Rhinolophus ferrumequinum: one gene and its partners. The protein of the gene in region 2 binds, or shares a complex with, the protein of the main gene of each other region. Links are inferred from orthologs where the notes say so. Each region holds a gene or a part of one and is shown on either strand. Other genes may lie near its edges. The genes, in order: CENPC, CENPA, NTMT1 and HJURP.

Region 1 (7,121 bases), on a different chromosome or scaffold from region 2:
ACCTAGACTATTTCCACTACCATGAAAAGTTCCCTCAGGGCCCTTTGCAGTCAGTGTTTTCTCCTCACCACGTCATCCCTGGCCAACCACAGATCTCATTTCTGTTCGTGTAGTTTTATGTAGTCACATACATGGAATCACACAGCAGATAGATAGCATTTGATGTCTGGCTTCTTTCACTTAGTATAATGTTTTTGAGATTTATCTGTGTTGTTGCATGTCTCAGTTGGTTGTTTTTATTACTGAGGAGTGTTCCACTGTGTGGATGTACTGCAATTTGTTTATTCATTCACCAGTTGATGAGCATATTGCCAGTGTAGGTCCATTATGACTAAAGATACTGTAAACATTTGTATTCAATTCTTTGTGTAGATATGTGTTTTTATTTCTTTGGGAGTAAATACCAAAGTGTGGGATTGCCGGGTTGTATGTTAAATGTATGTTTAACTTTACCGTTTTGCATTCCTACCAGCAAGGTATGAGATTTCCAGTTGCTGGTCCTTCTTCCTGGCACCTTGTATAGTCAGTAGTAAAAAAAAATGCCATTCTAGTGTGTGCTGGTGTGTCATTTTAGTTTAGTTTGCATTTCCAAATGCAAATGTTGAGCATCATTTCCTGTGCTTATTTGCCATTTGAATCTCTTTGATGAAATGTCTATTCAATGTTTTTGTCCATTTTAAACATTGGATCTAACCTTTTTCCAAGTGAAAAGTTTGTTCATATTGTGGTTTTGGTTTGCATTTATCTGCTGGCTAATGATGTTAACCTTTGACATTTCAAACTTCTCTTGAATATCATCAAGCTTGTCAAGTTAACTGGCCTAACTCTGCATTTGTCTTTGGCCTTGCATTTACTTTGAGGACTTTTTGAGTAATACTGAATCGTATGAAGCCGTTCATCTTTTGCAAGATTTTCATGTTTGATTTGCAATCAATTTTACACTGTATTCTGTTTTGTTTTATATATCTGACAACCAGAGTGAGACTGACCCAAAAATGATAGTGATCCAATGGGACGATGGACTAGGACAGAAGCTCATATTAAGCTGTAGGAGTGGAGTTGAATATGGACGAATTTTTAAGGGGTCAGCTCTATTGTGAATATTTTTGTTATGACTTCTGTTTCTCTATGGGACCTTGTAAGTGAAGAGACGATAAATTTGACAATAAGTAGTGTTAAACTAGAAATCTTTAACTTCCACGACTGAAGTGTTTTTTTGTGGTTTTGTTTTGTTTTTTTAGTAAGATTTGATTGAGACAAAAATACTAGCCAAAAAATTGGTCCTGGGGCATGGAGTCTAAACCACCAGCAGTATGGCTAGGAAGAAAAGACATCATGTCTGTAGTCCCAGATTTTGCAATCATTTTCTATACATCAAGTAGGAGGAAGGGGGAAGAAAGAGGTATTCTCAAAGAATTTACATGAGCTATAGACATAGGGGTGAGGGAAGGTGAAGTAGAGCCAGCTCTGGGATAGCAGAGTCCATATAAAGAATTGTGCATAGGCTGGGGGCAGAGTTCAGGTAGCCCTGTGTAAGTAAAAAACAGAGGCTCTGGAGTTAGATGTTGCCTGGCTAAAATAATATGTAGAAATTAATTTGAAATCCCAACAGCTAAAAGGGGAATGTGAGACGTCTTTGGTTAACGGGCCTGCAGCCATTCATTAACAGACTAACAGTTCTCTCTCTTTCACTCTCCAGCCACTGTAATTTAATTTAGAACATCTCAGATTTTTTTCTTATCCGTACCCATATCATAATTATTTAGTGGAAATTAGAGGTAACTAGGGAAATGTAAAGGTCAGTTTATATATAGTATTAGAATTAAGGACTCAGTGCAGACCTTAAGCACCCATTGCAAAGTAAAACTGTGTGTGTGTGTGTGTGTGTGTGTGTGTGTGTGTGTGTGTGTGTACATTGCTGCCACCTGTTGGCATATTGCAAGCACACTATTAACTTGGCATTTACAGTCTAATAGAGCCTTTCTATCTGAGGATAATTTTGTCAAAAAAGGCTATTTAAAGTGAACGTACCTAGCAGATGGACCAATATTTGGCAGTGCAGAGTAAAAAGAGAATAATTGAAATTTTATATTAAAAAATACAACTCAAAATTATACAAATAAATTTATTTCACTTTAGCAAATTTTAAGTTATAATTGCAACTGTTATAATTTCTAGAGCAAATTGATTTTTGGAGTGTAATTTTTAAGTTTTTAAGTGTAATATTTAAGTTTAAAATATTATTTAAAGGAGTTTTTAACAATTACAATTTTTTACTACACAAAATCATAAGTAACTAAAAGTTTTTACTTTCAAGTTAAATTTCTGGATACTTTATTTCCCATATACATATTTAATACACATATTTCCATAGACAGATACATACACACATACACACACGCACACACCTTACTTAGGTAAATAGTTGTGATGGAAAACTTAAAGATTTAGTCACTTGTCATAGCAGTTGATGTATTTTGAGGGGGAAGGGTCTATAATGATAAATATGGATTTTAAAAACATTGCTCAATTATCTAGAAACTGCCCTATTTGGGGATGCCAAAACCATGGTGGGGCTATTAAATACTAGGACAGATGCAGAGGGAACTGAAAAGTTTGGGCACTGGAGTCTCCATAACTTTGTGTTTTCATAATGGTTCTCCTCCATTTTCTCTAGAGAACAGAGCAGTTCATCCCCAACACCCTTTGCGTCCTGCATTTTACACCAGCATGTCATTGCTTTTCAAGTTTCTCAAAATACCTCTGAGAATTACTGTTTCCAGTGGAAGCAGAGGGATATAATTGTACATGTGGAAACCTACAGCTATGATTGAGCTTGCTAAAATTTCCCAGGGAGAGGTAAAAAGTATAGTGATTAAATGCTCAGTTTTGGAGTCAGAATACCAGGGTTCATCCCCAGTTCTGTCATTTAATGGTAGTGTGATCTTGGGTAAGTAACTTAAACCCTGTCCCTGTTCTGTTATATATAAAATAGTAAAATAGGAATATTAATCATCTTCTCTCATAGGAATGTTCTAAGAATTAAATAAGTTACTGCATGTAGAGCATTTAGAATAGAACTTGGCAAATAGTACACACTCACTAAATGAGTTTTTATTATCTATTCTAAATGTGACAACACCAAATTATATAATGAAGTCTGATTGGCAAAATGTCTGCTAGACCAAGTTAAAAAAAAATCACCATGGTAACACCAATTGCATTATTTATTGAATTCTTACTATGTTCCAGGCATATCACCTAGATCTTAAAAGGAATTAATCCAGCATCTCAAAACTTTTAATATAATTCCCATTTACAGACAAGGGAATTGAGAAAGTTTAATTAACTTGCTCAGTATGGCAGAATTAGTGGAGTATAGTGGAACTCGGGCTTCTCTGATTTCAGAGTTAATTTGTAATCCCTCTTCCCTACCAAAAAAAATGGCCTTAGCTCAACTCTTAATGATTCAATAATTAATGTATTTTTTGATTAAAATTACCATGCGAGTTTTTATTAAATCATAGAAATAGGATACAGTTTGGTAGAATCATAAAATGTAGGAAGAAGTGTTCAGAGCATCTAATTTAGCTTTCCCATTACGTATATAATTAAGGAAATAAGCGGAACAGTGCCACAATTTGTCCTAGAGGACATAGCCAGTCACCTAAGCAGGTTTCAAGACTCCTGATCTAGTACTCCTTTCAGGGCATCATGCTTTAATGATATACATGTACGTAAGTCATACATGCATCACGAAAATATTACCCACACATTCAACAAAAAAATAACTTTTTTACTCTATAATAGAATCGTTGAAAAGTCAAAGGGGAAAAAAAACGTTCCTAAGACCGTGCTTCCCAAGTGAAAACCCAGCTTTATGGCCAGCCTCCGCGTGGGGAGGAGGGAAAATGAAGCTAAGGGAGGAAGAGAGAAAGGAGCTACCGGAGGACAGAGCGGGGCTATGGGAAGAACGTGGGGCGGGGTTACAGAAGGGCGGGACTGTGGGCGGGTACAAGGAGGGCACAGGCTTGTAACGGCTTTCTTCCTATTGGTTGGCGAGGTCTGTTTTGCGCATGTGCAGGCTGTTTCAAACTGTGGAGGCCGCCACACCCCGGTGTTTGCCTAAGTCCAAGCCAATAAATGAGGAGGATCGCGGCTGCGCTCTGGTTGGTTCCAAGTTTCTTTGCTCCTGCCGCCTCTCACTTCGTCGGCGCTCCTGGTTCGCCGCCTAACTGCCCCTCTCGTGACTCTGTCATTGCTGGGCTTCCTCAAGCCGCGGCCTGTGAGGGCTGCCACCCCAAACGCCCTGCGCAGGCGAGCCGGGCCGGAACATGGCTGCGTCAGGTCTGGTAAGTGCGGGTGCCGGCACCTTCTGGCGGGTGGGAGTCCGGCCGCCCCAGAACCCTCGCGCCCGAGGCGGGGAAGAATGAAACTTTGGGCCGGTGCTCTGACTTCTTGGGGATTTCAGTGGGAAAGCCGCGCGAAGTTTTTGAGATCAGGAGTGATTGTGTGCCGATAGCCAGAGTTTATTTACTTGTGTTGTTTTCTCAAGGTTTCTTGTAATTCCGGCCGTGATGGCATCTTTCTCTTCAGAGAATCTTGTGATTTCTACTTTGTAGCCTAACTCCAATTCCTAGTCTTCCAAATAATTTTCTGTCCATAAAAGTATTGAAATGCCTTAAAGTTTTCCTTTGCCTCAGACACGCAGTCTAGAGAAGCAGATTATTTATGGAGCATCTGTTACGGATGAAGTTTTCTGAAGGGCAGCTGTTAAAGGGTGCAAGCTGTAAACGACGGGGGAGGGAACTCATTTTTTGTTTACATGCTTCTGAACTTACTCTGTATTCACTCTTTATATTGCACACATCGCTTCTGGTTACGATATAATACATAACCCATGTCATCCCCATCCTAAACTTGTGTCTTCTACTTTATTTCCCTGTTTAAGAACGTCTTCGGCATCGATGTACTGCCCCATTTATATAAAGTTATATTTGTATGCACAAAGAGATGTATTCAAGGGTTGTATAATGTGTGCTTTCTACTGTGAGCGCATACATTGTTTATATTATATGTAATAAAGGAATGCTGGAGGAAGAGAAGGAATAAAATTTACCAAATGCCCACAGTTCTTGGGGGGGAAAAACAGCTTGGTTTTTTTAGAGCAGTTTTAGATTTCCAGCAAAATTGAGAGGAAGGTACAGAGAGATTTCCCATATACCCCCTGGTCCTCACGCATGCATTGCCACCTTCATGATCAACACCTCCACCAGAGGGAGAACATTTATTACAATTGATGAACTGACACATTGTCACATTCTAAAAGGAGTGTAGTGAGCTGTGTAGTGGTATCATGTTTTAAGTTGCATTTCCCTGATGACGTGATGTAGAGCATCTTTTTATATGCTTATTTGCCATCTGTATACCTTCTTAGGTGAGGTGTCTATTAAGGTCTTTGGCCCATTTATTTTTTAATTGGTTGTTTTCTTATTGTTGAGTTTTAAGAGTTCTTTGTATATTTTGGATAACAACCCTTATCCGATGTGTCTTTTGCAAATATTTTATCTCAGCCTGCCTTGTCTACTCATTCTCTTGACCACAGTTCATTTTTCAAATGCCTGTCATCACCTGAGATCTATTTTGAGTCTTAGTTCTAATTGACTTTGCATCATAATCCATTTAAAAGGCAAGGGGGGGAGGAGAGATTATCCTTAGTCATTCCTGTACTTTAGTACTTTAGTAGTTCTTAACTGGGAGTGGCTTTAACCCTCTACCAGACATTTGATTATGTCTGGACAAATTTCAGGTTGTCCTGAGAGGGGGTGGGTGAAGGGGTGCTAAGGGAACCTAGTGGATGGAGTCCAGGGATGCTGCTGAGCATCCCGAAATGCAGAGAATGGGCCCTCACAGCAGTCATTCAGTCCATGTTAGTAGTGCTGGGGTTTAGAAACTGCTGAATTGTATCTTTTTTCTTTGAGAAACAGAATCTCACAGTGAATGGAAGAAACTAAAATTGAAATTGACTGAATAATGAGTTGAAAGTGGCAGTTTTTGAGTGTGCATTTGTTTTGAAAACTAAAAGTTTTTGCATTCTAAGTTTTACTTTAGAATTAAGAGACCATGTCTTGTTCATCACATGTTTTCTAAATTGCACTTGGCCCTGTACTAGGTCCTCAATTAGTATTCTAATGAATAAACTATCTAATCCTTAATTTTTTCTATTTGAAAGAGGAATAGAGTACTTAACAGGTGTTACTTAATGTTCAAAAACATTGCAAATTTGATGGATATTTTTAATTTATTGTGTGAAATTAGGAGAAGAGTGGCCTCAAATTAGGCCTTAGAAGGTTGTTAACTTACATTCTCAGAGCTGTACTTCAGTTTCAGAATGCTGAGTGCTGGACAGAGACCAAAGTGCTTGAGTTAGTTTTCATCAAATAATGAACGGAGACTTGTTAGATATCTTTGTTCTTTAGTTTGTTACCTGTAAAATATATTTTATCCTTTGCTCCTTAGTTACTTCCTGAGGATAACAGGCTCTGTGAAACTCTCACCTTTAAAGAAAGACATTTTTATCTCATAAGTTTTTGGTCTTATTTATTTGGCATGTCAAAAAGATATTAAATGTGTGATATACAATGCACTAAGCAAGGCTGTGGGAAGAATATAAACTAGCTTAAGACAAAGTCTCTGCTCTCAAGTTTCTTAAAATCTGATAGAGGTCTTCATTTTCCTGAATAATGCGATCCAAGGGCCATTAGGTGGTGCCAAGTAAGGTAGGGGTCCTGATGGGTAGGAAATGGCAGTGGCCCAGAGCAGTGTGTAGGAGCACGAGTGGAGTCAGGAGAGTGTCCCAGCTCAGGATGTCAGAGCATGAACAGGGTAAAGAGTGTCCACATGGGGTGGGGTCATCTATATCCCATTGGGCCAGGTGACAGTGAGGCTTAATAAATATTTGGTATTGGTGATAATATTTTCATTTTTAAAAGCATGTACTTCATCCTATTGCTACCCAATTTGTAACTAGTTTTACTTTATAGATTTTACAACTGAAATACAGGACCCAAAGTATCTCAGATAGACTCTTGACCTCCAATATAGCTTGTCTGTGTATTTTA
Region 2 (7,003 bases):
CAGCCTTTAATAAACAGACATGCAGTCATAGGAACACAACGAAAGGCCACCAAACAACTTAAGGCCAACGCCATGAAAGGAAGGAACCAAACTCAACAAACAAAATAACCAATACCAGAGGAATCTGAGTTCATAGCGCAAAGAGATAGACACTTTGAGAGATATACACCTTATAACCTTAGAGGGGTAAGGTAAGATAGGAAACCCACGACCCAAGAACAAGCGGTTATGAAAAGTAGCCAATGAAAGAGATCATGGGAAAGAACTGGGATTAAACATTCAGCAGCTGGGTCTTGAAAGGCCAACATAAGGAGTTGGGATTCAATCTTAAGGTTTGAAGCCATGGAAGAGCTTTAAGCAGGATAGAGAGGGGATCCACTTACATTTTGAAGTTCATTCCAGCTGTTGCATAAGAGACAGTGTGGAAGTGGAGTAGTGGCTGGGTTAGGATGCTGGAGGCTTGGACTAGGCTGGTGGGAGTACAGATGGCAACAAGTGACATGACTAAGGATGCAATTTGGAGGTACAATTGCATGAACTTACATTTGGATTGTACATGGGGGTGAGAGAAAAGAATGTGCCCCAGGTTTCTGGCTTGAAAAACTGGGTGGATGGTTGTGCCATTTACTGAAATGGGAGAAAGTGGGGATGAAGAGGTAGGAGGGGAGTAACCAAAAGTTCGTTTTTGGTATGTTAGTTTGGCATACCCAAGAGCACTCAGGTAGAGAGGCAGTTGATATACAAATCTGGGCTCAGAGGAGAGATCTGGGCTAGAAGTACGAATGTGAGAGCTGTTGATGTATGAGTGGAATTAGAGTCATGGGAAGGGATGTGACTCCCTGGGAAGGGAAAGTGAGGGAAAGGATACCAAGGAAGTCCAACATCGAGCTGATGAAGAGAGGTGGCCCAGGCAGTAAGAAACGACAAGCAGGAACTGCAGAGAGTGTGTTGTATCGTGGAAGCCAAGGGGACAGTGTTTCAAGGAGAAAGTGGTCCACTGTGTCAAATGCTTCTGAGAGACAGCAAGAATCAAACAGACATGTCTACTGGATTTGGCAACACTAAAGTAGCTGTTGACCTCGACGAGAGTAGTTCGAGTGTACTAGAAGTAGGGGTAGTGGTTGTGGGGAGTCAGATGGGAATGCGTTGAAGGATTTCTGGGAAGAGGGGAAACCTACTTTTAAGTCTGGCTATTTTAAAATGGGTAGCTAGCAAGGGCAGTAGAGAGAAATGGGGAGTATGAGGGAGACGGGGATGTGGGAACAAGGAGCCACCCCTGCTCTTTTTCTTTAGATTAGAAATAGCAGAGCACATTTACAGAATGCCAGTGTAAGGAGTTGGAATTTAAATCGAAGTGCAGGTGGAGAGGACAACAGAAAGCTTTGGGAAGGTGAGAGAAGAATATGACCGCTAGCCCAGTAGATGGATAGGAAGGTAGATACCTAGGTTCTCTGTTGTGAGAAGATAAAGGGAATACAATCTAGAGGCTTCTATTTCCTCAATGAAGCCTGGGGCAAGGTCATCATCAGGTTACAGTGAGGTAGGGTTGGAGCTGCAGGAATTTGAAGAGGAAGAAAAAAATCATGGAATAGTCATTGGAAGAAGGGAAAAGCAAGATTGCTGAACAAGTGCAGTAGGATTGCCAGGAAGTGTCAGTGTCCATCTGAGAGAAAAGATGGACCAGGAATGGAGGGATGCTTCTACATCAAAAAGCAACTGCAAACACCATCCTTAACAATATTCCTGTTAAGATTACGAATGAGACAAAGATGGCTAAAACACCGCTCTTATTTCAGTAGTAGCCCCAGGGCCTCATTAATACAATACAAAATAAAATGTATCAAAATGAAAAAGAAGACTTAAAAGTCTTTATTTGCAGACAATATAATAGCCTACTTAAAATTTCAATCGAGCAACTAAAAGATTATTAGGATTAACAAAAGTATGCAGCAAATTGGTTGGCTGCAAAGGTTATTTATGTTTAGAAAGAAAAAAAAATCTCATTCACAATGACAACATTTATAAATAACCTATAATGTACTTTTCCACCCTGCTCTTGGCTAGGTAGCAGAAGACAAGTAAAGCAATTGTTGCCGCAACGTACAGTTGGTGCATCTCTCATTCACCAGAACAAAGACCACAGAACAGAAACTAAGGACCACAGACCAGTTGTCTTTCTGGGCACCCACGTTGGGAAGGGAACAAGGGGAGAGCACTGCTTGAGTTAAGGGCACTGGGTAAGCCCCAACACAGCCAGTCACAGAAGGAAAAACAAATGAAACAAACCTGGAAGGTCATCTTCTAAAAGTAGAATTGCTTGAAATCGTCACAAAAAGCAGCCAGTAATTTCGCAATTTAAAAAAGCACAAACACTGAATTTTAGAAATCCTGCATCTGCCAGAACAAGCTGTGTGACCTTGTTCAAGTTACCTGGCCTGTCTGTGGCTCAGTTTTTTCATCTGTAAAATGGGCACAATATATATAAAACTAAGATAACTCAAGTAAAAAGTTTACCAAAATGCCTAGTTAGGGGTAAGCACTCAACAAATCCTAGTACATCAAGAAGTATTAGTATTAGGAGCCAGGTTGTCTGGGCCAGTCCTTTCTCCTTCTTGGAACTGCCTTCCCCAGTCCCTCCCCAGGCTTGAAACTTGGGCCCTGCTCCGAACAGATGCTGGAAGGCCAGCGGACCAGGCGCAGGGAGATCGGGCTCGATGTCAGGCTCCGCAAACGAGCCTCGGTTTTCTTGTCTGTGAAATGGGCACGTAGACCCGGCCGTGCCCAGCTCACAGACAGGCTGCAGGGGGACAACTTGGAGGGAAAGGGGCCGCGGCCGGTTACCTGCGGGGGCGCCCCGCCGGCGGGGGCCGGGTGCCGGGCTCCCGGTGCGCCTCCTCGGAGTTTCGGGCTTGCGGCGCCGGCGGGGCGGGTCCATGGAGGGCGCGGAAGGTCTCGGCCCCGCGGTTTCTTCTCCGCCTTCACGGTTCGGGCGTAAAGGCTGGCGTCTGGGGTAGGCTTAGGAGCGCGCTAGCCACGTGTGCCAGCAGGGAGGCTGCTCCAGCGCCACCTGCGCCCCCTTGGGTTCAAACGGCCCGCTCAGCCGATTCATTGCCGGCGTTTTTTAAAACCCGAATCCTGCGACTCCTAGTGGCTGCCTCTGGAGCAGAGCGACTGCGGGGAGGACCAATGAGAGCACAAAGCGAGAGATTAACGGAGGCGGTGATAGGAGGAGGAAGCGGGGACATGGCGGATCGACGGTGGAATCAGCCAATAGACACTTGGAGAACTGAAAATAGGCGGGAATTTTCCCTCTACGTGTTTGTCGGGGATGCTGTCAGCTCCACGTCCTCGGGTGTCCTCTGGTGGAAAAAGGAAAGCTCGACTCTGGAGACGTAGATGGTGTGTTTGTAGAACGCGTTTCTCTAGACGAATCACTTTGCTCAAAGATTTTATGCTTTGCCTTATCAATCCTGAGGTAGCTTTTAAAGATGAGGAGGCAGACCCACAGAGAATGTGACAACCCCACGCCATATCTGTGTCCCGTCCGGGAACACCCCACGAATATGACTCAAAAGCCAGTTTAACTGCATGAACATTATTGATTAGGGTCGTGGGACAGCCGGGATCCCGGGTCTGTAGATGCGATCAGGCAGGGCAGGCCTCAGTACTATTCTTGGGTCACACGCTCTAGCACTGTCATAGAATCGTCCAAGGGAAATGACCCCTCCCCTTCCTGTTGTGGACAACCCGTATTCAGGTCAAATGTAGTTAGAAAAAGGGGGATTTGATTTTCTACGGTTTGCTTTCTTGCATTCTCTAAGTGTTCTATAGTTACTATGAACTATAATCAGGAAAAATGTCATTGCAAAATTAGTGATTTCATGGAACCCTTGTTCACTATTAGTGGGAATGTAAAATGGTACAACCCCAGGAGAAAACAGTATGGTAATTGGTCATAGAATTAGCATATAATCCAGCAATTCCACTTCTGGGTATATGCTCAAATGAATTAAATGCTGGGACTTGAACAGGTATTTGTACACTAATACTCATAGCAGTGTGACTCACAATAGCCAAAAATGTCCACATGGATGAATACACAAATTGTGGTATATATACATACAATGGAATATTATTCAGCCGTAAAAAGACAGTAAATTCTGACACGTTACAACATGGATGAACCTTGATGGCATTATGTTAAGTGAAATAAACCAGACACAAAAGGACAAATATTGTGATTCCACTTATACGAGGTGCCTAGAGCAAATTCCTAGAGACAGAAAATAGGATGGTGGTTGCCAGTGGCTGAGGGTAAGGGTATGGGGAGTTAATAATGGGTAAAGGGTATGGAGTTTCAGTTTGGGAAGATGAAAAAGTTCTGGAGATGAATGGTGATGGTTGCGCAATAATGTGAATACATTTAATGCCACTGAGTACACTTAATGGCTAAAATGGTAAGTTTTACATTGTGTATATTTTACTGGAAGGAAGGAAAGAAAAAGAAGAGAAAAGGGAGGAAGGAAAAGGAATGTTTGGTTGAATCCAACGAGGTGTAGTCAAATCACGGAAAGATGATTGGTGTTCAGTAATCCAGATCATCACAGAGGCAAGAAGTCCAACTACACCAGTCCTCAACACCCATTAATCAGACAAGGCAAATCTTCACTCATTAATTCTGTTTTAGACATATAGCTCCTATTTTGTTCTAGTGAAGTGGAAAACAAGGTAGAAAATAGGATTCTTTTTTTAGATTCCACATAGAAGAGAGATCATATGGTCCTTGCATTTCTCTGACTTACTTCACTTAGCATAATGTCCTTATACAATATAAGATCCTACAACCAGGTCTCTAAAAAGTCAGAATCTCCTCCTTGGATGGTTCTTGTATTTATCCTCGCCACCATTTCCCTAGTTCAGACCCTAATTAATCAAAGGTGGTCTTACTGGCCTTTAGTTCTTCCTAATGCTAATCAAACCCATATAACCAAGTGATCTTCCCAAACAGCAATTTGGATCATGTTACTTCCTTGTCTAAAACTCTCCAGGGCATCCTACTGTCTACAGAGAGCCCTGACGCCTCACCAAAGCCTAAAAGGCACGGCATTATCTGGGAGCCTACCCTGCTGTAGCCTTGTCTCTGGCCACTTCCTGTGTTGCATGCCTATTGCCAGCTGTACCAGTCTACTTACCTGCAGTTCTCAGGTACATCACCTTGTGACATACGTTTCTGTGCCTTTTACAAGCTGTTCCTGCTTCCTGGGATACTTCTTTTCCCCCTCCCACGCCACCAAGCCTAGAAGACTTCTGCCCATCCTTCAGCACTCGGCTCAAGTGGAGCCTTTCTCTGAGTTCCAGGCAGTTAGCTGATCTCCCCTGCACCCCTCCCTGCACCACCTCCCCTGCACCTCATACAAAGGCCTCTTATTGCACAGCACGCTGCACTAGAATTTCATTACACATTCGTTTTTCCTGTTTCCTTTGATGGATCCAGTCCTTGGAGCACATACATTCTTGATAAAGTTTGTTGAATTCTGGGATAGAAATCTCTCTTTTTTTTTTTTTTTGACAAGAGTTCTTAATGAAGAAGGGTGATTTGTAAACTTTCATGGCTACGTAGGGAGCTCCCTGCTGACCTCAGGTTTTGAAAGGATGTAGTCAACAAAAGGCCAGGGGGCTCTAAACCAAAGCAAATCGGAAAGAATGGTATCGATCGATAAACAGGTCAAAGGGATGAACACATTTAGGGCTGCTGAGAACCTCTCCTTTTTATAGGTAGCCAAGGTCATGAAAGGTAACATGACTTGTCCAAGGACAGCCAGTCAAGGCAGAGGCAGGGCTAAGGACACAGCTGACTCTTAATGTTGCTTCTTTCCCCTACACCAGGTGACCCTTTGCTCCCGTCCTCAGCCTGTCCTCATCAGGGGTCAGAGCTCTGACCTCCTGGAATGCTGTTTGCTTGTTAAACTATGCAGAGACCTTTGGACAAAGTGAAGGCAAGCAGAACCACTTGGCACGGTCCTACCTCTCTGCTTTGTAGGCAGATTCCTGACGAGAGGAGCCTGAGGCCTACTCCAGGGCCCAGACAGGCAGTCCTAAAGGAAACCCCAGCCCTAGGCTCCCTCAGAAGCACTCAGGGGCAGGGACTGATGAGTTCACCACGGTACAGATGGTTTAAATTACATTGTATTTGAACCAATGTTTACAGAAGTCTGATACCAGTCAATTCTTATTTGGGGGTTCAGCGCCTCTATGCCAAACTTCCACCATTTAGGGCCTCCTTACTCCACTGAGAACGGTAGGCCACAGCTAGACATTCCCTATAACCCTCCAGACTCACTGAGAGTAGAGGTTCTTACCCTCCATCTACATAATCAGCACGACACAGCAAAGCGTCTCAAACTCACCCCCCAAAGCACAACAGGATAGAGTGAACACATCTCCAGGGTCTGGGATGGTATCTACTGTCAGCATGAAATATTCTTGAGGCTTCTGTTTTATCCTCTATCACTATAACTGATATGAATTTTGCATTTTACTCCATGACGGTATTTTAATAAAACATTTCTTTCCCTCTCAGCAAAGCTGATGCCATGCTGTGCTCAGCTGGGACTTCAGTGCCCCTGACAGACCACCCTGGTGGACAGTGGAGCTAAACATACACCCCACTGTGTGTTAACATTTATAGGCACCTGTGATTTATTATCTTATGTAATTTTCATACTCATCCCGTTAGGCTTTCCCATTTTAGAGATACGAAGACCCAAAGCCCCAGGAGGTAAAGCAATTGGCTTGAGTCGGTGGCAGGCCTGATGGGGCATCCCTCTCCTCAGGCTATGCTACCCCTCACCACTGAAGTTCCATTATAATTCTCCCCAAAAGCTTTCACAGTCCTCCATGGCAACACTCAAATAAAGGCCAAGTGCTTCCCGAACACCCTCTTAAGCAGTTTGCACAGTTGAGCACAGAGGCTGGGCAGCCCATGGCAAAGGAACAGTCGTGG
Region 3 (8,158 bases), on a different chromosome or scaffold from region 2:
CAGGGGCCCTGGCAGCGAGCTCAGTCCCACCGCGCCACTCAGGAGGGAGGACAGAGGAGAGGGGCCGTTCAGCAGCTCCACATTCAGCCCGCCTGGCCACATCATGGATCTACTCTGAGGCACTGGCACTCCTCAACAAATGCTCACCCCGCATGGGCACTGTCCTAGTTGCTGTGAGCTTGTCAACAGACAGTCCAGCCCCCTGTCCACGAGGAGAGGCAGCAAAAATGGAACCGACTGAAACACAGGCAGAAACAATGAGGGCTCTCCCTGAGCCCAGAAGTGCCGTGGAAACTCAAAGAATGGAGGAATCCTTTGCAAACGGCAGACAGGGCCGCAGCCAAGAGGTGACACCCTGACATGTGTCACTGTCTTTCTCTTCCATCACACATGGCATGTAGGTGTTCAACAAACAGTTCACTTCCTAGTAAATGAACAGAATAAATCTTTTCATTTTAAATAAATAAAACTTACCTGGCCGTACTCTCTCTGCCTAGCTGTTGGCCTTCCCTCCCCAGATGTAAGCTTCCTGGGCGAGGGTCATTACTTGGTACATCATTAGCCCAGCACGTGATGAAGGTGGGTGTTTGCTAACTGGTTGTTGAGGGAATCCAATAATGAGCTTTGTACAGCTACAGCCATTTCCCACTTTTAAGAAAATCCCACCGACAAAAATCTGACCGTTCGAAACTGGTAACACTGAAGGCCATTACCGATGATGTGATTTTTTTGCTTTTACCAAAAGCCTTATAACATGATTCCTTTAAATGTCAAGGTCCCCTGCATAATCTAATTTACAAGAATTCCACTTACAGGCAGATTCTAGGAATAAGCCAGGGAGGCACATCTAGGCTGGGAAATGGCAAGTGTAACTTTGACATTTGTTCTAACAGCTGACTCATTAGTAAACATGACTCCTGGGGCCCTGTCTACACTTTGCTTCCCGGTGTCCAGACTGGAGTAGGCCGGAGGTCCCTAGGAGTCAGAGAGAACAGTGGCTTGTCAGTCAAACAGCAGGACGTGCTCCTACACTCTGCCCAGACCACAGCGAGGAGCTGGGGAAGGGGCCTGGGCACGGCTGGCTTTGTGTGCGCGCTAGGCTAGCTGGGAGGGGAAGAGAGAAAGCCTTTGCTCCCAGTGACCGGGTAGATTGTCTGCGCATCGGTCACGGTCATCCGGCCACCTCCTGCTCCCCCGACAAGGTGTTCAGGGGAACACCTGACTGCCTGGCCCAGCTACCTCTCTTTTCCCGGGATCCGCGGAAGAGAACCGTGTTTGAACTGTCACTGCCGTGCCTGGCAGAGTCATCCCATCCATCTCATTTCCAGGCTCTAAGGAAAAGCCAGGAAGCAATAGGAGGCCCGAGGCTGCCTGAAGTCACCTCCCTCCTCCTCGTAGCCTGCTGCACAGGGTCTGTTCTTGGATCTGTGTGACTGCAGCTGGACATATGAACATGGGAGGGAAGTCTATGAAAAAGAAAGAGAAGGAAGGAGAAAAGGCAAACAAACCAAGAAAAAGGGGAGGGGAGGACTTTAACACAAAGGCTCAGATAAACCAGGTCTGAATCCTGGCTCTGCGGCTCGCTGGCTGCCAAAGCTCACATAAGACACTTGAGCTCAGTTACGTAAGTTTCTTTATAAAACGGGAGCAGCAATACTGACTGTATGGGAAGACTGTGATGATTAAACGTGGATCGAAAAGCAGACGGGGATCCATACAGTGCCCGGCACACATTACCAGAGATTTCTCATCTCTGTCAAAAGAGATTCCCGTCAACGCCTTCGGCCAATTGGGAGGATGAAATGAGAAAAATGCACCGAAGGGCCCCAGACATTGTAGCGTGTTGGCCACACCTAAGGGATTATCACAGTTGTGCTGCGAGGTCCATCCTGCAGCCTCAAACAACTCTTGACCTGCAGGGGCGGGGTGGGGACTCCTCATCCTGTAAGCACAGAAGGACTGCAGATTTCGGAGATGCTGCCTTTGTGACTCTGTGGCTCCTGGTCTCCACTAAAGCATTCCACATGTACCTGCAACCCTGCCACAGCCCCGCTGACAGACAGGAGAACCATCCCACTGAAGGAGTGGGGTGCCTTAAAATACACACCCACACCACAAACCGGGAACAGAATGAGCTGGGAACCCAGACATCTTAACCAGTCAAGGCCCTGGCCTCCCAGGGGCTCACTCCATCTCACGGGGCAAGGATTCTACACACCCAGGCCCCTGCAGCTCGGCCCTTCCCCAAGGGCAGGGCCTCTGACCCCCGCTGTTTCCATCCCTAACTGCACAGAGAAACCAGGTCCTGAGCTATCACACAGTTGATGGGCAGCAAAGCCTGGGCCTTTCGCTATGACGGCCTCTCCGCAAACTGCCTGACCTTGGCTCCAAGGGCTCTTGGTGGATTGTCTTTTGAGCGGCACCTGTGTCAGGCCATTAACGGGCCGGGGCCAAGGTGAAATGTGATCGCAACTCCTATGCAACGGGCCCTGCCGTGTGCCCGTCTCTGAACTGAGCGTTTTACTGTATCCTGGCACCCACCCGCCGAGTGGGTGCTCTCCTTATCCCCGTTTCTCACAGGGGAAACTGAGGCTGAGAGGGGGACAGGGGCTTGCTGCGGCCCAGGGACCGGCGGGGAGGAGCGCTCGGCCCCGGCTTTGGGGGCCCCGGCCTTCCTCCTCCACCCCCCACCCGTGGCCCAGGTCAGACCCACAGACCTTCCCAGAGCGCGCACGTGGGGCCCCGGCCGGTTCGCGCCGGGTCACGTAAGGAGCCGGGGCCTCAGGGCGGCGAGGCAGTTGGAGGTCGAGGCCTCGGCTCTCCCGGCGGCCGCCGCCCCCTACTCCGCCTCGCGCTACTCACCCCGGGCGGGGCCTCCCGGGACCCGGGAGAAGAGGATGGGGAAGTGGAAGGGAGGACGGCGGCAGCGAAGACCCCACAAGCCCACAACCACCTCCGTCAGACCACTGCCAGACGCGACACCTCGCGGCGCGCGCTGCCTTTGTCCGCACACGTAACTTCCGGGTGCGCCGAGGGGCGGGGTCACGGATGGCTCCGCCCCGCAATTGGCTCGCCCCGCCCATGGGCTCCTGACCTAGCTTGACATTTCTGTCCCTGGAAGGACGTCCCAGACTTAGAAGAGCCGCAGCGCCGACCCTCTCCCGCCTCCAGCACGTGTACCAGTTCATTGGGAGGGCTTAAGGCTGGACTTTTAAACACGAGTGTTCTGTGGGTTTTCCACGGGGTAAAAAGAGGGGGAGCCTTATTCCTCAAATCCCGCCCATAACACTAGTATCTTAATAAACAGATCCAAAAAGTAAAGAAGAAAAAAAAGAAATACCCTTAGCCATGCCAAGGGTTTGCCACCCCAATTAAGCAGAACAAGTCCATAAATTTTCCATTCCACAAAGGTTGCCCTTCTTTAGGCTCCTCCCATATGTAGAAATTCTTGAGCGTCCCTGAAGCACCTTGATGGAAACTGGAGTTTGCAGGTAGTTCTTGTGAAGTTCTTCAAGCCTCATTCTCCTCCTCTGCCAGACAGATGAAATAATTAGTCACCTTGCAACGTTCTGACGGTTAAATTTGTGGGATATCGCACGGCAAGCCCTCAGCCCTGAGCTTGTAGCTGTTATAACGAAAATATACAACCTAACTTCATTTTTCCTAGACTGACATCCTAGTCTTATTGACAGTGTCTGCCTCTGGGCGCTGCACACAGGAGGTGCTTAAAGTGTGTTTGCTCTAAAGAAGTGAAAACTATGTGGGGGCTGCTGAAAAGCCCCACCTTCAGCGGAGTCCCCTAAATCTATGTCCATATTATTTGGCACCCTCTCTAGAATACTCCAGGTCAGCCTTGGGTCCCTTTCCAAGCTTCATTTTCCATGTTTCTAAGGGAAGGGGATAAATCCTCGGTGTCTATAATCTTATTTGAGGGCAGCTCTGAGCTTAGCTCTTTTAGGGGTGCCTAAAAATCCACTCCTACCTTTTTTTCTGTCAACGGAAGAGGAAGTCCCTTCCCTACACCTTCCATTCCTGGCTGAGGAGTATTTGCAGAAATGGAACACATAGTCTGTGGTGCCTCCTCCAGGCAGACGCCTTATAATTTGAATTACAAAGTCTTTTTTCTTTCCATTTTCAAATTGTAAAATTATACCATGCCGGTGAAATTGCTGGTCCAAGTTACCCTTGTCCCCCACTCGAAATTCACAATACAAGCTTCTTCCATGCCCCTTGCCAAACAAGAGTCACAGATGGGGTACAACAGTCCATTTTACCATGGCGCCCTGAGAAAGGTCCAGCATCGCACAGCACACAGAAGCAGATCAAGGAGTCAAAATTGATTCTCTTAGATTCCGGGCCCACTGCATTCATGCTGCCCAGCCTTCCAGTGGAAGTTCTACTTCCAGAGACATCAGCCTCAATGTGCCTCACCTGGGCCTCCCGGATCTGGAGTGGGAAGCTGAACCCCGGGCCTTCCATCCCTGATTTGGGCCTGGCTGTCCTGGTCAGGTGTTCCCCCCGCCACCCCCTTGTAACTGCAGCCTTGGCAGCCTGTACAACAGCCCCGCCCTCTGTCCCCAGCCTCAGTGCCCACTGCTCCTCACATGACCTTGGGTGAGGGGCAGGTCACAATGAGTCTGAAGAGGTCCTTAAGGCAGCAGGGAGGGGCCAGCAGAGGGACCAGGCCAGGAAGATGGGCTCCCCCCAGCACCAGCCACCTGTAGGGGCCTCTAAACTCACTGGGGCCTTCTCTGGCCAGGCCCTGAAGCCTCAGTAGGGTGAGTATGTCACTAGGAGCCAGCTCACAGCTGACTGCATCTGGGAGTGGGGTGTGGTGGGGAGGAAGCAGGCTCCGAGACCCCAGTGTCAGAAGCTGGGGGCAGGTCTGGGGCTCTCTCTTATAAAGGGGGAGTTTGTTAAAAAACATGTGTCTTGGCCCCACCCCAGACCTTCTAAATCAGAATCTGGGGCATCTGTATTTTCAACAAGCTCCCCACCCAAGGGGGTCCGAGGTCCCAGCAGGAGACAGATGCTGAGCAACTTCCAGGTTTCCTAATTCCCAGGGGACCAGGAGAGCGAGCGCTAAAACAGTAACAGCCTCCAGGACTTGACACCCCGATGTGCTAAGTGCTCTCTACCGGGTCGGTATTTCACTCTTACAAAGGAGCAGGTCCTCTGTTATCCCCATTTTGCAGATGAGGCCACTGAGAGGAGTTCATCAGTTGGCTTGCCCCAGGTTATAAAGCTATTAAGTAGTGGAGCTGAGACTAAATCCTCAGTAATAATTTAAAAACCATCATAATAATAGCAGCTTGTGTCTGTTGAGCACTTACGACGTGCCTGACACTATTCTAAGCCACTTACGTGTGCTCGCTCAGTTGAACGTCACAGCAACTCAAAAAGGTGGTACTCTTACCGTCACCATTTTCCAAGGGAGGGAACAAGAGGCTCAGAGAGCTCCAGCCTGAAGCCACTCGGTGCCTGGCGAGCCAGAGATGTTACTACCCCCAGACCACGGTTCCCCGCTCTGGGCACTATGGCCGGGGGCTGGCCTATGCTCTCCTCTCCACTTCACACGGCACCCCCTGCCCCCACTGGCGTGAGAAGGCCCTGAGCTGAGCGCAGGGTCAGACACGCGGCGGCGTCGCCCCAAGCCCCGCCCCCAGCAGATGGAGCCCAAGGGGTTCCCCAGCAAGGGCGATCGCGGAAGGAGAGACCCTCTTCTGCCCAGGCTGCCTTCACATGAGCTCCGACCAGCCGCTGGCGCAAATAGATGGGGGGACTCAAGGGCCTCCGGGGGCGGCGCCGAGGGATGGCAGGCCTCCAGCGGCGAGTCGTCGTCGCCCACAAACCTGGGGTGGGCGTCTGGAGCACCGTGCGGCGCCTTTCCGCCCTGCCTATCGTGCCCCAGCGGGCAGCGCCTAACAGGACAGGGCTAAGGTCGCTACGGCCCTCGCCCCTGCTCTGGGCCAGCATACCCCGGACACTGGGGTCCCAGCTCCCCCAAGTCCGGAGAGTGCGAGGTCTCCCGGAGGGGCTCGGACAGGGAGGCCCAGGACTCCTTGGGTGCCCACCTAGGAAAGTTCCCCTCTAGCAGATTCCAGGAGTTCCTGTGCCAGATGGGGGCCGACTGCGGCCAGCAGCCACAGCCACCGAGTGAGGCCCTGTTTAGATCCCCAGGGGGCAGGGCAAGGGCGGGGCTGAGTCATGGGTGGGTGGGGCCCACCACCTTGCACAGAACCACCCTTTGAGGGCGGGTTTCTCATTGCCTTTGTTGTAAGGATGAGGAAACTGAGGCCCAAGTTCATAAAAGTAGGAAGACCCTAGTAAGGACTGTCCCCAAGCAAAGGTTCGTAACTATTTCCACCTCCTCCTGGCTCCCCGCATCCTCAGAACCTCAACCTCAAAAGAGTGTCCCAACTGCTCCTTCCTCCCAGACCTGAGGTAAGTGTCAGTGACCTGCTGGTGGGGAGTGTTGTCACCGACGCTCCGAAGGTGGTGGACCCTTACCACTCATGCCAGATGTGGCCTCTTTGTCTTCAAGGGGCCAGACATCATACTTTCAGAATAGTCCTAAGGAGATTTTGCTCCATCAGATACCTACCCTGGGGCCGCTGAGGAAAGATCACGCACAATTGACCAAGATCAAGAAGGCCAACAAGTGAGTTATGGGAGGATGAGGGTAGGGAGTAGGGAGAAAGAGCATTTCTTTCCTTCCCTTCTTCCCTCTGTCTCTCACCTATCTATCCACTTATTCTTCCACTTATTCATTCATCATCCATCCATGAATCCACCCATCCATCCACTCACTCATCATTACATAGACCTATCCATGAATCAGGTTTTCTCCTAACCCGTTCAAGGATCATCCGTCAACATCCATCAATCCATGTATCCATTAATTGGGTCTTCTACAACACGTTCATAATTCACCCATGAGTCCATTCATATATTCATTCTGCCATTCACCCATCCATCCTTTCATACATCTTATCTGTGATCCAGGTCTTCTACCACCTATTCATGAACCTCCATCCAACCATCCATCCATCCAGCCAGTCATCCATCCATTCACAAGCTCCCACACTTCCATCCATCCATCCATCCATCCATGAATCCAATTTGTAGAGCAATCCTTTACAAACCTTTCTATCCACTCATAAACCCAGGATCCTATTCATCTCTAATCTAGTCGTGCAGCCATCTACAAGTCCACATACCCATCTACATAATTATTCATTCACCCACTCGTACGCATCCTCCTAAGACCCAGTCCTTCTGCTCAGACCTTTCCTCAATTCACCCAGCGGTTCACCCATCTGTCCACCCTCTCACCCACCAGTCTTCAGTCCTTTTACCTATCCCACCATTCATTCCTCCATTTCTTCCTCTAACATTTATTACATTTTACTCCATGTTAAATATTGGGGGCAATAAAAAATAAAGGATGAAGGTAGGAGAGGAGCCTGGGCATTAGAGCTCACGGGGGCCTCGGTGCTGTAACTCTAATGGAGGAGGGAAAGAATGCAGAAAAAATTCCTCCAGCTTAAACAGGGGTGAAGGGTGAAGAGCATTGCCCACGAGTTGAAAGACCAGGGAGAGTAAATACACGATATACATGTCCTGCCTTCTCATCCTGGCCCCATGACAGAGGACATTCATTGATCACAGCACCTTTCCCCACTGAGCCTCAGCGCCCTTCCTGACACAGTGCTCCAGGCAGGCACCACTGATGGATCAGAGTAGGTGCCAGAAATGAAACACATTTGCCAGTCCAGGAACTTTAAATCAATCAGGCCAAATCAACACATCCCTTCTCACAAGACATAACAAATACAAGTTTGGAACTCATGGTCTCAAATGTCAGCGACCTCAGGGACAGACACATTCACAGTGTCCCATATTCAATAGCTAATCCTTGACCACGTTCCCATGTGTGAGATTCCCTGGTCGGCCCTAGAGAGGAGCAGGACTCCAGGGTGCATTAGCACAGGTTCCAGCAGCCTTTGAGGAGCAGCTGCGATTTCAGACCTGTGGGCAGAGCTGGGGAGTGCCTTGGCCTGGCCCGGAGGCCAGCACCGGGTGGCCGTTGATACGCTGACCACTGTTGGATAAGTAGGTACGATGCCTGTAGCCAGGCACAGTCTTGGACACTTAG
Region 4 (7,940 bases), on a different chromosome or scaffold from region 2:
CAGCACATTCTTCAAACAGGCAAATGGGTCACTAAGGTGAGAAAACCATGGAAGAACTGCCCTGTGGTGGCCTCCAGAAGCCCCTGGTGCTGTTCAGCTCACCCACACCTTTATCCCGTCAGTAGTCCTCCATGGCAAGGAATGGTGGCAATAAAATGTGACAATAAATACCTGGGCTTGTCCTTTGTTTTTCTTTAGTACTTTTCCACCCCAAACTCTCCATCCTGAAGAAATGGAATAAAAATTAGCACGTAAGTAATCCTGAACCCCAAGTCTATTTAATCTGCATTCATAGAAAACTAAAGTGACAGGCAAAAGAAAGTTATAATATTAAAACCAAGCTGTATTTCTGATCTTTGGTTGTTTTTCATCTTTGTGAGGTTGAAGTCTTAAAAAAAAAAAAAATCAAGATTAGACAAAAACCTGTCAGTAATGAAAATCTCTCCTACCCAGGGGGCAGCTGCTGGTCCAACATCATCATGAAGCCACAAAGCTAAATGAAAATAGGACAGTCTCCACACGTGTAGAGCACGCCCCAAGTACAGAGACCAACACTGAGCGTTGGAGGCGTGGCGCTTCCTAGTCACAGAGCCTGGGCCAGACACTTCATCTCTTCCTAAACCTTCATTTGCTCCCAGATCGATTCCAGATAATCAGAAGAGGTCGTTGCGGTTCAAGGCTTGAGATGGTTGTGAATGATGATAATGGCAGCAAAACTTCCACGGTGCTTTCAACGTCCCAGGCTCTATTCTAAACTCTTTCCAAGTGCACCTCATGTCATCTTCACACAAAGTCCCTCACATGTCACTCAAACAGGACTTCCTAACTCCCTCCGGGATAGGCACTCACCAAGTTCACTGTACAGATGGAGGCACAGCAAGAAGGTCAAGTAACTAGCCCAGGACACTTGCCTGCGTGGTGGAGCCAGGCTGTGAACTGGGGACAGTGACGTGTTCCTGACCACTGTGTCATGCAGCCTTTCCAGAACAGGGTGATGCTTGAGCAAATGCTCTTGGTGTTAAACCCAGGTTTGGTCACTTTGGCTGAGTGACGTGGGATAAGCTCCTTAACTTCTCCCTGCTGTATCACCCGCTAGGAAATGAGGATGATTCTAAGGACAGTACCTACCTCACAGTGTTGAGAATCAAAAACAGGAGACCCTTAGAAGCACATGCTTAGCTGTCAACACACGTGAACCACTGTTACTTTCGTGCTGACTTCACCATACTGTGTGGAAGTGTCAGTTCCAGTCTACTCCCTAAGTGGGCATTCCCGCTGCAAGGGTGGTCAGCTAGCATTTAGCCAGACAGGCCACTCCCTCCTCGAGTGCCTCTCCAGGCTAAGCAACAGGTCAGGGGACCTCTGCTGTCACCAGCTAGGGGCCTGTTAGACTGAAGACCTACTGAATCCAGCATCGCAGTCAGGAGCCCCGGGAATCTGTGTTTTAACAAGCTCTCCACATGGTCTTCTACATGTTAAGTGTAATTGCTCTCGAGGTGTTCAGATACTTCAACTACTGTTCTCATCAAAACGGGAGTCTGCAATGAGTCTTCACTGGTGAAATCAGTGGCACTGAAGACATGTGAACTGGCCAAGATATTCCAGACACGGCCCGTGCTCAGTGAAGTCCGTCAGCACGATTCCTGCAGAGCCCTGGGTCCTGCCCTAGGGTTGGAGTTGTCACCGCCTGCTGTAGATGCGAGAGCAACAGAAACCTGCAGCTGGAATCCCTTAGGTCCTGCCTGCGGAAACTTTTCTACCAAGGTATGGCTGGGTCTGCTGAGAAGGAAGACGGCTAGGTCTTCATTTAAGGAGTAAGTCTTATGAAACCTCTTTGTACCTGTCTGTCCAACACTTGGCAAAACTGAATCTGAGATTTGCTTTCATTAGTAGTAATGAGCTGGTAATAAGGCTGAACGGGAGGACGTGACAAACTTTCACCCCGTGCAAACGTTCTCCAGCTATTTACTAAAGAGATTCCATGAGATTCAAGTTATTTCGCAACACCAACCATTAAACAGAAAGGCTCTTTCTCCCTAGATTCAAGCCAAGTTCCAAGTACACAGAATCTCAAGGACAGTTAGTATTCCAAGTCAAACAAATAACAGTCAATACGAGTGTTCTAGCGCAGGGCACTGTTCCAAGAACTTCACAAGCACTCACATATATAACTGTCACATTTGCACCAAGTAGATATTTTTGTCATCATCCTCCCATTTTACAGATAAAGAAACTGACACATAGCCTGGCTAAAACAACAGGTCCAAGCTGACACGGCTATTTTATGGCCTGCTGGGATGCCAACCCAGGCAGGGGCATTTTTAACCACTACGCATCTGTCTTCAGGATTCTGTTTTGATAAGTAATTCTGTTTGGAAGAAGTAATTTAACTTATTGGTTCAAGGGAACTCGTAATGTTTTAGTTCCTATTAGGCGAACAGGTATTATTTTCCAAAGAGAGCAGGGACAGCATTTCAAGCTCTAGGAAGACACTATTCTGTTCACACTCTTAACTGTAAATATTCAGAAAGGGGAAATGACTCCTACCCGTGGATGTCTTGTAGGTAAGCGTGGACATTTGCACCAGCGGGGCATCCTCGAAGGGTTTGTTGTACTGCAGGAGAGAAAGGGGCGCCCTATCAGGTCCGAGGGTCGCAAGTAGCCACTGACCCGCGACAGCACGAGGCTGGAAGTCTGGGAACCTCCCCACTCCTTCCCCTGCCCCCCCCCACTCTAAATCCTGCCTCCTCTCTCCTCATCTCCAGGCCCTAAACCCACCTTCCCCGTTCCAGGCCTCCCCACCCTGTCTCCACCTTCCCTCCCCGCCGCTCTTCTCCTTTCCCCAGTCCCCGACGCCGTCTTCCCCTTCCCCGCCGGCCTCGCGCCCCTCCCAGCGGGCCGGTGGGGGCCGCACCTTTTCTAGCAACTGCTGCATGTGACGCTGGAAGCGGCGGCGGCTGTCCCTGAGCTTCTGCAGCAGTGCATCCTCCCCTAGCACCTCGTCTTTCATGGCGCGCGGAGACCCAAACCCCGACTCCCGCAGGAAACGGGACTGGGAGCTTCGCCCCGCGCCCCAGTTCAAATAGGGACTCCGCTCTTCCTGGCCGCCCCTCGGGCTTTCCATTGGCTGGCGCTGAGAGGCTGGGCGCTGATTGGGCCTTTCAAACATAGGCGCCGGAGTTCCCGCAGCCGCTCGGCTCCGAAGTAGTGGGCGGGGTGCGCCGCCGCACATGCGCACGGGAGTGGCGCGGTAGTCCCGTCGGTTGCCGGTTAATGGCGAGAGTCCTGTGAAGTCCGTATCATTTCCCGGGTTGTGCACAGGAGATGCCCGGGTGACCTGCGCCGGGACTCGCCGCCGAGTGGGGGGCGGCCCCTCACCCAAACGTCGCCCCGCGCCCTCCCCGGAGCCGGCTCCGCCACCCCGCCCGCCTTGGGCCCTCGCGCTGTCACGAGAGCAGCCGGGGGGAGGGGGGGGGAGGTAGGGGGGGAGGGGGGGGAGGTAGGGGGGGAGGGGGAGGGGCACAAGAAAGAGACCCCCCAAATTACAAATACAAAAGGAGGCAGGAAAGGGAACATACGTTTAGAAAGAAATATCGTAAACGTTTGAGCATCCAGGAAAATATAATTTTTTATTCTCTTGGTACACCTTTTTCGTATATATATTTTTATTGCGCACTCAGACTCTTCGTTGATATTAATGTTGTAATGTTTTCTCTAAAGTATAGAAAGAGAATGCAGTCTTTCCTCGAGTGTGGTTGGTCGAGTTTACGAAGTACATTTTAGAGAAGTTTTATTCAGCTTCATAACTTAGTCATATTCATGTGTTGATGCTGATACAATTACCATATAGTACGTGACATAAGAAGAGCATAACTGAGCACCATTAGGTCCCTAGCTGGGGCTCTTCATCTTCGCTCAGCTTGCGCCCCAATCCTCTCATGCCATCCAGCAGAAATTGGGGGTAAGGGAGGTGAGAAGAACTCCGGGGCTCACGTAGTGGAGTGTCCAGAAAATGTATTGTAATGGACTCAGAGATGGGCCACCCAGAGCCGCCTTCAAGACACCGCAGCTGCTGGTGGCTGTCGGCAGGCACCTTCTCAGGTGCAGAGGACCCCTCACCCCCGGTCGTGCAGCCCCAAATCCAGCGGCTGATCCAGGTGGGAATATGAAGACAGGGTTATTTCAGATTCCGCCTGGAATCTGCCGAGGCAACCTGTCCAGTCTCCATTCTTTCCCAGCCGCCGAACCGAAGGGCACTCCCTAGTTAACATCCTGCACACTAACTCTGTCACATTCTGCCACCTGGAGAACCCAGCCTGTAACGAGGACCTGATGGTACACATTCCGTTTGTAGCTGTCCAATTTTCATGAGTCAGCTGAGCTTTTCCCCTCCTTCCCTCTAGGGAGTGTTCAGGAACTTTACCTGCTTTTCCTTTCACTCTGTTGGCACACTCAGGTTGTTTTTCAAACACGTGACTGTCACATTTAGAGACTTGACATCTTGGATAGGGTTTTCCTTATCGTCTCTTTTAATTCTTGGAAAACTTTCTCTTTCATGACTAACAAGCGAGATAGTGATACTTTTCAAAATTGGCTCTCCTACACCTAGAAAGCCACTCTCAGGATCCAGGGCTTCACTGAGTGTCCAAGGACCTGCCTCTATCCTAAGGAATCATGCTGGTTCAGGAGAAGGCATGAGGGTCCAAAAACATACTCTCTTTGGCAATCCCCTCTAAACCAACGTGCACTGGCCCTTGTTCTTTAGGCCTGCTGGCCTCCCAGTCCTCTCTGACTGGCTTTCCCCATCCCATGGGCCAAAGTCATGGCCCAACGACGGAAGGAGGAGTCCTGCAGGATGCTCCCAATTTGACACCATTCCCTACAAACACCCTCCCCTGACCCCCACAGACACCTATAGCAGCCTAACATGTGACCTCAGGAACCCAGACCTGCTATGCAAACTCCCCTTCCACCACTCCTCACCCCCATATGACAGGGAAGGATCCCAAGTGAACTCCTTCCCTGGTAGTGGAAGTGGCTGGTGTAGCCCCTCTGCGTCTCAAGGGGTTTCCGGGGGCAGCAGAGATGAGGAAGTGGTCAGCTCTGCTGCAGGATCTCCATTTCGGGCTGAGCCTGCGCAGTGTCCTCTGCTGGCATGGCCAGAATTTTCACCCCTTAAAGTGCTGCTTAAAATTATGATTACACATAGGAAATCTTTCTCGCGGGAATTATTTTATGTCTGCTCTCATAAAATGTGCCTGCATTTTATACAACTTTATATAACAAATGAGGATTTATTCTGCATAGAATTGCCATGTACATAATTTTATGTTGGCAAGGTGTGGAAATGTCACCACCTCTCTGTGGTTGGAGAAGCACAGCTTTGGGCCGTTCCCAGCGTTTACAAAAACTTCTCGCTATGTGACAGTGAAAACGTGAGTCTGAGATCGTGGCAAGTATTAAGCCCCATCTGTTAGGCCGCCAAGAAAAGGGTTCACTTTCTTCTGTCATTCTAGGGCTGATGGAAACAAAGGGACTGTGAAATAGCTGAAAAACAATTAACTTTCCAAAAGGTGTCAGTCCAAGCTCACAAAACATGTTTATTCTTTGATTTACTGAGTCTACTTTTTGAGATCTATCCTAAGTAATTAAGTAATTAAGAATGTTGGCAAGGATTTAGCTGTAAGATTTTTAGTGAAGCACTGTTTATAAAGTCCAATCCTAGAAAGAAGGTTGAGTAAATGGTGATACATATCTGTGTTCCATTAACTACAGTTTTGAAAAATTATATTTATTGGCATCAAAAACATGATTTTTTTCTTAGAATAAATGGAGGTTACAAACATGTATTATATATCTGCCTTTAAAAAATATGCGTTGTATGTTTTAACAATCCGAGTATGTATTTATCAAAATGTTTCTGGTGTTATCGCTGGATGACGGATTAGTTTTAGTATTCCAGTAGTTTTCCTTAGCTTCATTTTCTAGAATGAATTGTATCCCGCGATTGTGAGTGTGCATTTCTCATGTGATATGTAACACAGCAGAGCCGATCATGTATTTTACCTTGCCTCTACAAAATTAGAGACCATTTACCTAAATAGGACACACATGGTTCCAGACATTCTAAAACCGCTGTCATACAGTTGAACAACGTTTTATCATAATGATACCTCTCCTCCCAGCTTTTACCCAGAAATGTGTTTTTTTCCTGGGAAAAGTAGGGCTCCAGCTTTCTTTGGTGATGTTCCTGCCTCAGTTTCATGTGGTGGGAAATTGCTTTTTATTCTTCACCTTAGGCTTTTTGCTCTACAGATACACTTTTAGGGTCATGATTAATGTGTTTTAATGGGCTATCCATTTTAAAAATCAATGAAAAGAATTTACATTAAAAATAGAAGGCAATTAGATAGATTTGGATGACCTATTTTTAATCAGTCCCATTATTTATGGATCTGAAAACTCTCAGGACCTCTTTCTCTGGAGCAAAGATCGGCTCTTCCATTATTATGTGTGAATAACTTTACAACAGGAGGCACCAGGTTAATTGGTAATTTGCAAAATACTTTTCAAAAAAATTTACCTACTTTGGAAATGTCCTGGGATTGTCCAGTCCTTTCTTCTTTCCTCAACCCATTGTAGTTCCTTCTTACCGCCCATGGCTTATTGGAGTTAATTTAAAAAGTACAGAAGGCAACTGCTGTGTTTTTGGAAAAGTTTTGGTGCATCCAGTCCTTACTTAAAATTAGCTTTTACAGTAATAGTGTTACATCTTCTCTCAACTATCTTTACCTTTTAATACTCAACTCCTATCACTATTGCTTCTAATGTTCTTATTGCAAGAAATAAGAATAATTTCTGTGTCTCTGTCATTTATCACAATTATTTCTTAACATTATTATAAAATGTACAGAATTAAAAAAAATTTTTTTAAGGAATTCTCACTTGTTTTCTTATTTTATTTATTTTTTTGTTTTCTTATTTTAAATGTCTTGCTTATATACCAGATTTTTTTCCTGTTGCTGAATGGGATATATATTTTACAACTTTTAATGAATTTTCTTCATTCTATAATTTTGAATGAATTTGACAGAAAAAAAAACAACTCCCATTTCAATACCTAATCCTTCTACCTTGAAGAGAGATTAGCATTTGAATTGGTAGACTGAGTAAAGCAGGTTACCCTCCCCAAGGTGGGTGGGCATCATTGCATGCATTGAGAGCCTTCCTAGAACAAAAAGATGGAGGGAGAATTTGCTGTCTCTGCCTGACTGAGTGAGTTTGGACTTTTCCTGCTCTTGGACTGGGACTTAAACGATCAGCCCTCCTGGTTCTCAGGTCATCAGACTCAGACTGGAACTACACCACCAGCTTTCCTGGGTCTCCAGCTTGCAGTGTGGGCTGACCGTGGACTTCTCGGCCTCCATCATGACGTGAGCCAGTTCCTTACATCTCTTTTTATATTTGTTGAGGAGTTTTTAAGGTCCAAAATATGGTCAGTCTTGGTGATGGTGCATTTGAAAAGAAGGTGTATTCTGCTGTCGTGTGTCAATGAAGTCAAGTTGTTTGGTTGTGTTGTTCAGGCCTTTCATATCTTTATTGATTTTCAAAAGAATTCTATCAATTACTGAGGAAAGGGTTTTGAGTTTTCCAACTAAATTGTGGATTTGTTTATTTCTTCATTCAATGCTACAAGTTTTTGCTTCCTATATAAAACTCTGCTGTTATCCTCATAGGGTTTTTATGTCTTCTTAGTGAATGGATCACTTTTTCATTTTATAATGTCTTTCTTTGTCTCGGATATTCTTGTTCTGAAGTCTAATTTGTCTGTTATTAATATAACCATTCCATCTTAGTTTTGATTAGAGTTTAACTGGTATATCCTTTTCTATTCCTTTTAAAAAACTTACTGATGTCTTTATATTTAAAGTGGATTTCTT

Evidence for each region.
Region 1: CENPA (region 2) and CENPC share a complex: the UniProt entries of both Homo sapiens proteins name them as parts of the CENPA-NAC complex. The link is inferred for Rhinolophus ferrumequinum from reciprocal best matches to the Homo sapiens genes CENPA and CENPC.
Region 3: the proteins of CENPA (region 2) and NTMT1 are in contact, whole or in part, in a crystal structure (PDB 5CVD), measured with the Homo sapiens proteins. The link is inferred for Rhinolophus ferrumequinum from reciprocal best matches to the Homo sapiens genes CENPA and NTMT1. Residues at the interface, in NP_001800.1 of Homo sapiens: Gly2, Pro3, Arg4, Arg5, Arg6, Ser7; in NP_001273725.1 of Homo sapiens: Tyr19, Trp20, Met30, Leu31, Gly32, Tyr34, Ile37, Trp136, Asn168, Ile175, Asp177, Asp180, Asp212, Glu213, Ile214, Tyr215.
Region 4: the proteins of CENPA (region 2) and HJURP are in contact, whole or in part, in a crystal structure (PDB 3R45), measured with the Homo sapiens proteins. The link is inferred for Rhinolophus ferrumequinum from reciprocal best matches to the Homo sapiens genes CENPA and HJURP. Residues at the interface, in NP_001800.1 of Homo sapiens: Lys64, Leu65, Ser68, Arg69, Arg72, Asp83, Phe84, Asn85, Trp86, Gln87, Ala88, Gln89, Leu91, Leu92, Ala93, Glu96, Ala97, Ala100, Phe101, His104, Glu107, Asp108, Leu111, Leu112, Leu114, His115, Ile132, Glu136; in NP_060880.3 of Homo sapiens: Glu14, Asp15, Leu18, Lys21, Leu22, Ser25, Arg26, Arg28, Phe29, Arg32, Met33, Leu36, Lys39, Tyr40, Pro43, Phe44, Thr47, Pro48, Val49, Val50, Gln51, Met52, Ala53, Thr54, Leu55, Ile65, Trp66, Gly67.

The regions. Positions count from the first base shown.
Region 1 is NC_046288.1:26,688,740-26,695,860, reverse strand, and holds the start of CENPC (centromere protein C), read left to right. Parts: upstream 1-4,108; 5' UTR 4,109-4,334; coding exon 4,335-4,352; intron 4,353-7,121. UniProt on the Homo sapiens protein: Component of the CENPA-NAC (nucleosome-associated) complex, a complex that plays a central role in assembly of kinetochore proteins, mitotic progression and chromosome segregation.
Region 2 is NC_046296.1:53,767,130-53,774,132, forward strand, and holds the start of CENPA (histone H3-like centromeric protein A), read right to left. Parts: upstream 3,160-7,003; 5' UTR 2,936-3,159; coding exon 2,842-2,935; intron 1-2,841. UniProt on the Homo sapiens protein: Histone H3-like nucleosomal protein that is specifically found in centromeric nucleosomes. Replaces conventional H3 in the nucleosome core of centromeric chromatin that serves as an assembly site for the inner kinetochore.
Region 3 is NC_046295.1:78,074,943-78,083,100, reverse strand, and holds the start of NTMT1 (N-terminal Xaa-Pro-Lys N-methyltransferase 1), read right to left. Parts: upstream 3,018-8,158; 5' UTR 2,863-3,017; exon of another isoform or gene 2,718-2,862; intron 425-2,717; exon of another isoform or gene 148-424; intron 138-147; exon of another isoform or gene 1-137. UniProt on the Homo sapiens protein: Distributive alpha-N-methyltransferase that methylates the N-terminus of target proteins containing the N-terminal motif [Ala/Gly/Pro/Ser]-Pro-Lys when the initiator Met is cleaved.
Region 4 is NC_046291.1:5,347,163-5,355,102, reverse strand, and holds the start of HJURP (Holliday junction recognition protein), read right to left. Parts: upstream 3,087-7,940; 5' UTR 3,011-3,086; coding exon 2,915-3,010; intron 2,615-2,914; coding exon 2,548-2,614; intron 225-2,547; coding exon 172-224; intron 1-171. UniProt on the Homo sapiens protein: Centromeric protein that plays a central role in the incorporation and maintenance of histone H3-like variant CENPA at centromeres.